Diceros bicornis minor: one gene and its partner. The protein of the gene in region 2 interacts with the protein of the main gene of each other region in a biochemical or structural test. Links are inferred from orthologs where the notes say so. Each region holds a gene or a part of one and is shown on either strand. Other genes may lie near its edges.

Region 1 (3,748 bases), about 17 Mb from region 2:
CAAATCAAGAATGCAAGCCATACCTTGAAAGCCCCTGCTCATCTTACACTAACCATGATCTATATGGTATCCTTCAAATTCTCCTCTAATTTCTTCTAAATGCTATAACAATATTTCTCCTACCTCTGAAATGTAATTGCCAAAGTGTAAGCCTGGGCAAATCTAAGCTAATTTCACTAAATAATTAACAAAAGATTTAAATTTCATATACTCTCTCACTACTACAAAGCTGTGAATGTCTGTGAAGTTCCTTCAGGAAATACAGTTTTATTAAGAAATGTTCTATTGTCAGTTATCTTTTTGTACTTTGATCTCCCTCATTAACTTTTTTTTAAACGTTTTATTTTTTATTATTTTTTTCCCCCAAAGTCCCAGTAGATAGTTGTATGTCATAGCTGCACATTCCTGTAGCTGCTACATGTGGGACGCAGCCCCAGCATGGCCAGAGAAGTGGCGCATCGGTGCGCGCCCAGGATCCGAACCTGGGCCGCCAGCAGCAGAGCGCACACACTTAACTGCCAAGCCACGGGGCCGGCCTCCCTCATTAACTCTTGATTTTTTCTACACTCAACTCTCTCCTGAGATACATATTGGAGATTCTAATAATCAGTTTTTAACTGTTAATACAATAGCTTTAAATAATCAATTTAGATTCACAGAATATAATTTATGTATTCCTCAGTGTTCTGTAATATAAAGCCTTTGAATCTACATAGAATATTTAGGTGGCAAACACAGACATTACTTAATATATATAAAGCAATCCTAGAACATTCTCAATTATTTCATTTAAATAAATAAAGAAGAAATATAACAACATGCTATTATTTATTATTTTGTATCTGTAAATGTATGCAATGATTTTATGTAACTAGAATGTCTACAAAGAAAAAAACTGTCTAGGCAAACAATAGATTGCAATTATAATACTTCACCATGAGATTAGTTTATCATTCTTAAACTCTACAAAACAGCAATCTCAACCAAAATCACATATACAACTTGGGAAAAAAAGTTTTCTTTGATGACTCTATATATGCTTTCATGTGTTAACATAAGTTGCTAAAACAAGAAAATTTACTCCAATTTCATTATTGCATAAGCAATTGGACAATGATCAAATAGCAGACCCAAGATTCAAAACCAAATTTAGAAATTCGTTTAGTAGAATAAGTATCTTAAATCTTTTCCATACCTATTCTATCAAAAAGTTCTCCCCCACTGCAGTACTCCAGAAATAGATACTGGATATTGCCTTCTCTCCTGTGACCATAGAATTTCACTACATTCTCATGATTTAACATTTTATTGATACAGATCTCTTTCTTAATATTTTCTGGACAGTCTATGGCACGCTTCATGTCTACTATCTTCACTGCAACTGCTTCTTCAGTTCTTCTATTCACAGCAAGTTGAACTCTAAAAAGGAAAAGGAAGACATTTGAATTCTTTCTTTTAAAACTTCAAAAGATTAAACATGACTCATCCAACTATTTTACCTTTATTACTTTCTCTACAAAGGAGAAACCAAGGAAACAGTTTCTGCCATGTTCTCAACAGATACTACTCCTTTCTGACATGTAAGGTATGATAGTTAATGTCCCAAGGAAGTCATTATGCTATACATCCAAAAGTCATTTAATAAACGCTTGATAAAATAAATTAAAATGGGATAACAGCAATTGTATGCCACATCACATATATGCATACACTATTCATTTAATTTTAATAACATTACCTAACATATATCAATCCGACACTACATACACCTGTGTTAACTGTTCTAAGCATCTATGCGGTAGGTACTACTATTGCCATCTCACAGCTGAGGAAACAGAGGCACACAACCGCATTAAGAAGCTTGCCCAAGAAAACAAAACAATGACCAGTATGTGACAGAGTGAGGGTTCGAAACCAGTCTGACTCCAGTGTCTGTTCATTTGCTCACTTAACCACTATGCTTAAACCCCAGGAAGGGATATGTGGGAAGAGAAACTGACTTTAGAAGTCTCTTCCAGCTCTTTACAAACACTGTTGGAAAAAAGCAAGAAAAAAATTAATTCTTACAAAAGATTGTGCAGCTTCAGTTCCCAAAAGTCTTGGATTTCAAATGCAAAGATCTGTTCGCTAAGGCACCACTGTATTAGAATAAACAACTCCAAAACAATGAATATGTATGTACTCAAACAAGACAACAGAGAGAAAACTAAACAAGCGTGAAGGCAGGGTAAGCGGACTCAAACTCACTCTCCATAGGCACCTTCTCCCAGGGTTTGCACCAAGTCCCAGTCTTCCACAAAGGGCACTGCCATGACTCCACTACGAACCACGGCTGCAAAAGGTAGGAACCCAGAAATGATGGGGATGAGAAGAAGCCTCAATTATCTGTAAAGCCACTGAGCTCTGGCTCTTGCCATGATTCCTCAATATAAATAATAGCTCTTGGTTTCCCCTTACACCTCATCCACATTTTATCCAAGTCTTTTAACCACAAGCAAGTATGTATTCTAAATTCTGGCACTTTGTTGTGTTAATCACAATCCGCATTCCCACGCAACCCGACGGCTGAAACTCCGCCTTCCTCAGGCCTCAGAAGAAATTTAATAGTTCTGTTGAGGAGCTGGGGTACAAATGCTTTACGGTGGATGACTGGGGAAGAGGGTGAAAGAGGTGGGGTTTGGGTGGGAGAGTAAGAGGATGCGGCCTCATGGGGGCGGAAATAATAACTACGACCCCTGCAGCCCCTCCTCTCCACTTGCTCAGTCCCAATACCCACTCTCACCCCGTCCCAAAGGCCGGGAGGAGCCGGGGCGGGGCCAAACTGCCCCAAGAAGCGGAAGGGCTGGGTGGCAGACGGACGGCCGGGGCCCAAACCCCTGGGGTTCTCAGCCAGCAGAGAGTTGGTCTCTCCAGTCCCTCTACAATGGGGACCCCCAGTACTCCTCCACCCTCCGAAACCGCCCTCCGTGGGAGTCTCTCCGATCCCCTTCGCCTGTCCCCGGTAACATTCTCTCGCCGTGCCCCTCCTAACTAATGTGGACCCCGAACTCCTTCTCCAAACTGGTTACCCACCCTACCGACCGCCTCTCCTCACCCTCGTCCTTTGCCTGCCACCACAGGAATCCAAATACGGCGCTTTTCCCGCCAAAACTTGCTCGCGTCACACGGTCGCAAACGTGCGCACCCTTGCCGTAAAGCAGGAAAGCGCGCGTTCCCGTGACCGCTGCCGTAAGAGTGGCCGCTTCAGGTGGCGGGCGCCGGGAGGTTACCCCCAGGTTTAAGCAGGCCGGGCCTTGGGTTACTTTGGAGTCGAGGCAAGGTCCTGGCTGAAGAGATTTAAGAACTGCCCGCCGCATCAGTGCGCATGATCTCTGGGCCCAGACGCGAAGTGGTCTCCGGTGTGGGACCTCGGCCAGGCGGCCCTCACGCTCCTGGGCGGAGCCGAAGCCCCTCCGGAGATGTGCCTTGACACAGCGGGCGGCGCGGTCCTCGCGTTCGCGCCCCCTGTGTTCTGGACCTGGCGGGCGGGCGGGATACGTGCCTACACCGACCAGCTCGGGAGCTCCGAGCACCTCGCCCGGCTGCTGGCAGGATTGTGAGGATCACATGCAATGACTGTTGCCTCTCTATGTAACTTTAAAGTGCGCTACAGAAAAAACGAGAGCGGAGAAGCTAAGAGCTGCTGTTGTAATTGATCTTTTGAAGAGTGAAAGGAACTTTGTGGTGGGAGCCAGAAGCATCAAAAAAG
Region 2 (3,748 bases):
ATATACTAAAGACGTTATTTGTAATGCGAAAAAATGCATGTTTACTGAGCATGTGATACTTGCAGGAAGAGGCAGCCTTAAACTTTTTTTTTTTTAAGCTGTGGCTTTTCTGAACTTGTTTTTTCCTCCTTCCATTTCTCAAACATTGATTGCTTTCAAGAAAACACAACAGTTCAGTATTATCTATATAAACAGGAGATATTCATTCACTGATACATGCAACAATATTTACTAGGCAACTACTGTGTTTGAGGTACTATGTTAGGGATAGCTAAACATATAATGAACTAAATAGACACAAATCCTAACCTCGTGGAGTCATAACTAGTGAGGGAGAGTGACAATAAGCAAGTATAGTGATAAATCAATGTATAACTCCAAATTGTGATATATGACTCAAAGGAAACAAATATATAATAACAACGGAGAGGACCACTTTTGATAAACTGAGAACACATCTCAGAGGAGGTTACAATAAAGCCAAGATCTGAATGAACTGGTGCCAATTACAGAAAGAGCTAGAGGACCAACATTTTACGGAAGTAGAATAGCATAGCCAGAGGGTCCTAAGATGGAAAAGTGCATGGTATATTGGAGGAACTGAGAGAAGACCAAAGAACTAGAGAGTAGTCAGCTAGAGTAAGTGTCACCAGATAAAGCTGAATTCAATTAATACATGAATCCAGAACTAACTAGGTTCCACTGCCAACATGCAACTGAAACAATACATATTTGCTAAGTAACAGCTTCTGAATTGACAAATTCAATGTTCTTTTTTAGATTTCAACTAAGTCGATCCCTTTGTAGAATCTGACCAGGATGCCTACATCCCATCTTCCTGGATATAATTCTGCCCTTGGCATGCCACTCTTTACTAGTGGTAAGAGTGTGGGCTCTGTAGCCAGATTGTACTGGTTCAAATCCTGGCCCTGCCACTTACAAGCTGTATAACTTTGGGCAAGTTAGTTAATCTTTTTAAACCTCAGTTTTCTCAATGATGAAAAACAACACTAGAATCTACCTCAAAGAGTTATCTATGGATTCATGTACATGTTTAACACAGTGCCTGGAACACAGCAAATGCTCAATAAATGTTAGCAATTATCATTATTCCCTCCCTTTCTGATGGTTTGTTTTTTTTTTTTCTGTGAGGAAGATCAGCCCTGAGCTAACATCCATGCTAATCCTCCTCCATTTTTGCTGAGGAAGACCGGCTCTGAGCTAACACCCATTGCCAATCCTCCTCCTTTTTTCCCCCAAAGCCCCAGTAGATAGTGGTATGTCATAGTTGCACATCCTTCTAGTTGCTGTATGTGGAACGCGGCCTCAGCATGGCCGGAGAAGCAGTGCGACCCTGCGCGCCAGGGGTCCGAACCCGGGGCGCCAGTAGCGGAGCGCGCGCACTTAACTGCTAAGCCACGGGGCGGCCCCCTTTTCTGATGGTTTCATGAGTCTCTTTTGATGGTTTTTCTTCCACCCACACCTGAAAGAACATCCTTGTCTCCTTACTTCTCACTCTATGTTCTCCCAGTGTGATCTCATCCATTCCTATGACTTCAACATGTTGAAAATACCCAAATCTATTTTATTCAATGCCAAACCTCACTCTTGAGCTTCAGGAACCTTCTACACTTTGTGCCTTTACATGCATTTTCCCTTGTCTAGAAGGCTCCTACCATCCTCCAGAGCAATTTAACACTGCGAGGGCCCACTGCGAACTAAATTGATTCTTCCAGGCTCAATTTCCACAGAACCTCATTCACTCCTCTACCATCACAGTACTCTTCCATCACATTATCACCCTGAGTTGTAACAGTCTTTTTACTTATCTGTACCTGGTAAAAACAGCAGCGAACGCTCCTGACTTCTGACCACACGCAAGGCTATCACATCCGTACGGCGAGGTCACATAACAGACAGTCACCTTTCGAACTCCAGCAGTGTGTTTCCAGAGCCCACGCTCTTAACCACGCGACGGTAGTTTAAGCCTCAACAAATGCTCGCTGATTAAAACTACTAATTATGAGAGAGAGAAAAAAGGATGATTAGTCACGTCATCTAGTTAAATCTGGACTCTAAAGTGACAGGGAAAGGGGACGCGCAGGGGGGGTTCAATTCAGGGCATTTAGAAGAAGGTTCATGGCCAAGTCCGCTAAGGGCTCGGAGAGAGGGCGGGAGAAAGCGATGAGGACAGGAGGCCGGCAAAGACGTGGTTTGGAGAGGAGTAAAGGGCCGCTCTGGAGGAGCGCATGAGATTGGGTGACTGGGGACTAGGGCAGAACGGCTCGGATACGATTGAATTCCCCCACGCAGAAGCCACTGCGTGGCTTTCGCGCCCCTATCGCTGGTCTCTGGTGGCCAAATTGTAATCTCTGGGGGCGGCGGTGGCTGCAGCCTAAATCCCCGCCCCACTCACCGTCCCCCGCGGCAACAGCAGCTCGATCCAGGCGTCCACGCACTATTCCCGCTTCCGGTTCAAACCTGGCTTGACCGCGCAGCTTCCGACTCGGGAGCAAGAAGTAAGGCAGACCATGCGGCGCGTCTGCCCATGCGCGCCAAGCATCACGCGCCAGTCCGCTCCAAACACTCGCTGCCCCAAAACATTCGGCTCGTCTAAGGAAACGCGCCTGCGCCTTGCCCACCAATGGCGAGCGACCTTGCGTTTGGGGCTCGCCCTCTGGCTCCTGCTTCTGCGCTTGCGCCCCACCTCCTCGCCCCCTTCAGCCCCACCCCTCCAAATATGAGGACGGAAATGACGTCAGTCCCAAGGCGAACGGAGGCGGGTTTCATTTCGGCGCCTTTCTTTGTCGTGCGGAAGTGATTGGCTGGCGTGGAGCGAAAGAGGCGGGACACTTTGCCGCGGGTTCAGTGCCGCCACTGGAACCGGGAGATGCGGCGCAGGAGCTGTCGCTGTGTTGCCTTTTACCTGAGTCTTGTCTCTTACTGTGGTTCCTTCTGCGGCTTCGATCATGTTGCTACCTTCAGACGTAGCCCGGCTCGTATTGGGTAAGCGCGGACGCGGAAGGGAGGGATATTGGGCCAGGATAAGCAGGACGAAGGGACCTTTGGGGCCAAAGGTTTTCCCTGGGTGGGGAAGCTTCGGGGTTTTGCCTCCCCGCCGACAAGTTCAGACTGGCGGTGATTCTCCTTTAGCAGGGGGCTCGGGCAGTTTGAGCCTCTTTGTGGGGAGGTGGGGGGGATAGTCTCTCCTCGGAGGCTGCGTGGCGAGGGAAGAGAACACCTGAGGCCCGGATTCCGAGGGAAAGTCAGGCCTGCACACTTAATTGGGACCCCTGCAGGAGGGTTGTCTACGTGACGGACGGACTGCGTATTTTTGCACCGTGGGCGCACTTTCCCTTGTCAGAGCTGGGACCAAATTAGGAAAAATAAGGACTTCCGCAGCCACCCAGCTTTGTAGAAAGACCTTCCTGACGCCCTTCTCATAACTCGCCCTTAGAACAACCAATTTGGGACGAAGCGGGGTGCCCTTCCCTCTCCATCCTCCTCCCCCCGCCATTAGTCGTCCAGTGTAGAGGTTTGAAATGCCAGTTGCGTATTTTAAAACAGCAGCCATTCTTATTCTTTTGGTTAGCAAGAAATTTCACTGAGGAAATGCCTTCCATTTGAACGTTTTCTAGTCCTAGTTAGTTTTTCCTACATTTGAGGAGGGTTAGTTCCACGGGCCACTTGTCAGAGTGTATTGTCTGTGTGGGAAACGGGTTTTGTTGTTTGTCCCCTGAAAGAATAG

Evidence for each region. The genes of interacting proteins can lie anywhere in the genome.
Region 1: of the proteins of ATM (region 2) and CHEK1, one has a biochemical effect on the other in vitro, tested with the Homo sapiens proteins (2 studies listed by BioGRID, with this or other methods). The link is inferred for Diceros bicornis minor from reciprocal best matches to the Homo sapiens genes ATM and CHEK1.

What each region holds. Positions count from the first base shown.
Region 1 is NC_080746.1:10,471,312-10,475,059, forward strand, and holds the start of CHEK1 (serine/threonine-protein kinase Chk1), read right to left. Parts: upstream 2,333-3,748; 5' UTR 2,313-2,332; coding exon 2,248-2,312; intron 1,420-2,247; coding exon 1,196-1,419; intron 1-1,195. UniProt on the Homo sapiens protein: Serine/threonine-protein kinase which is required for checkpoint-mediated cell cycle arrest and activation of DNA repair in response to the presence of DNA damage or unreplicated DNA.
Region 2 is NC_080746.1:27,549,995-27,553,742, forward strand, and holds the start of ATM (serine-protein kinase ATM), read right to left. Parts: upstream 2,599-3,748; 5' UTR 2,417-2,598; intron 2,017-2,416; 5' UTR 1,836-2,016; intron 1,067-1,835; 5' UTR 1,022-1,066; intron 1-1,021. Other genes in the region: protein NPAT, read left to right, coding at 2,970-3,006.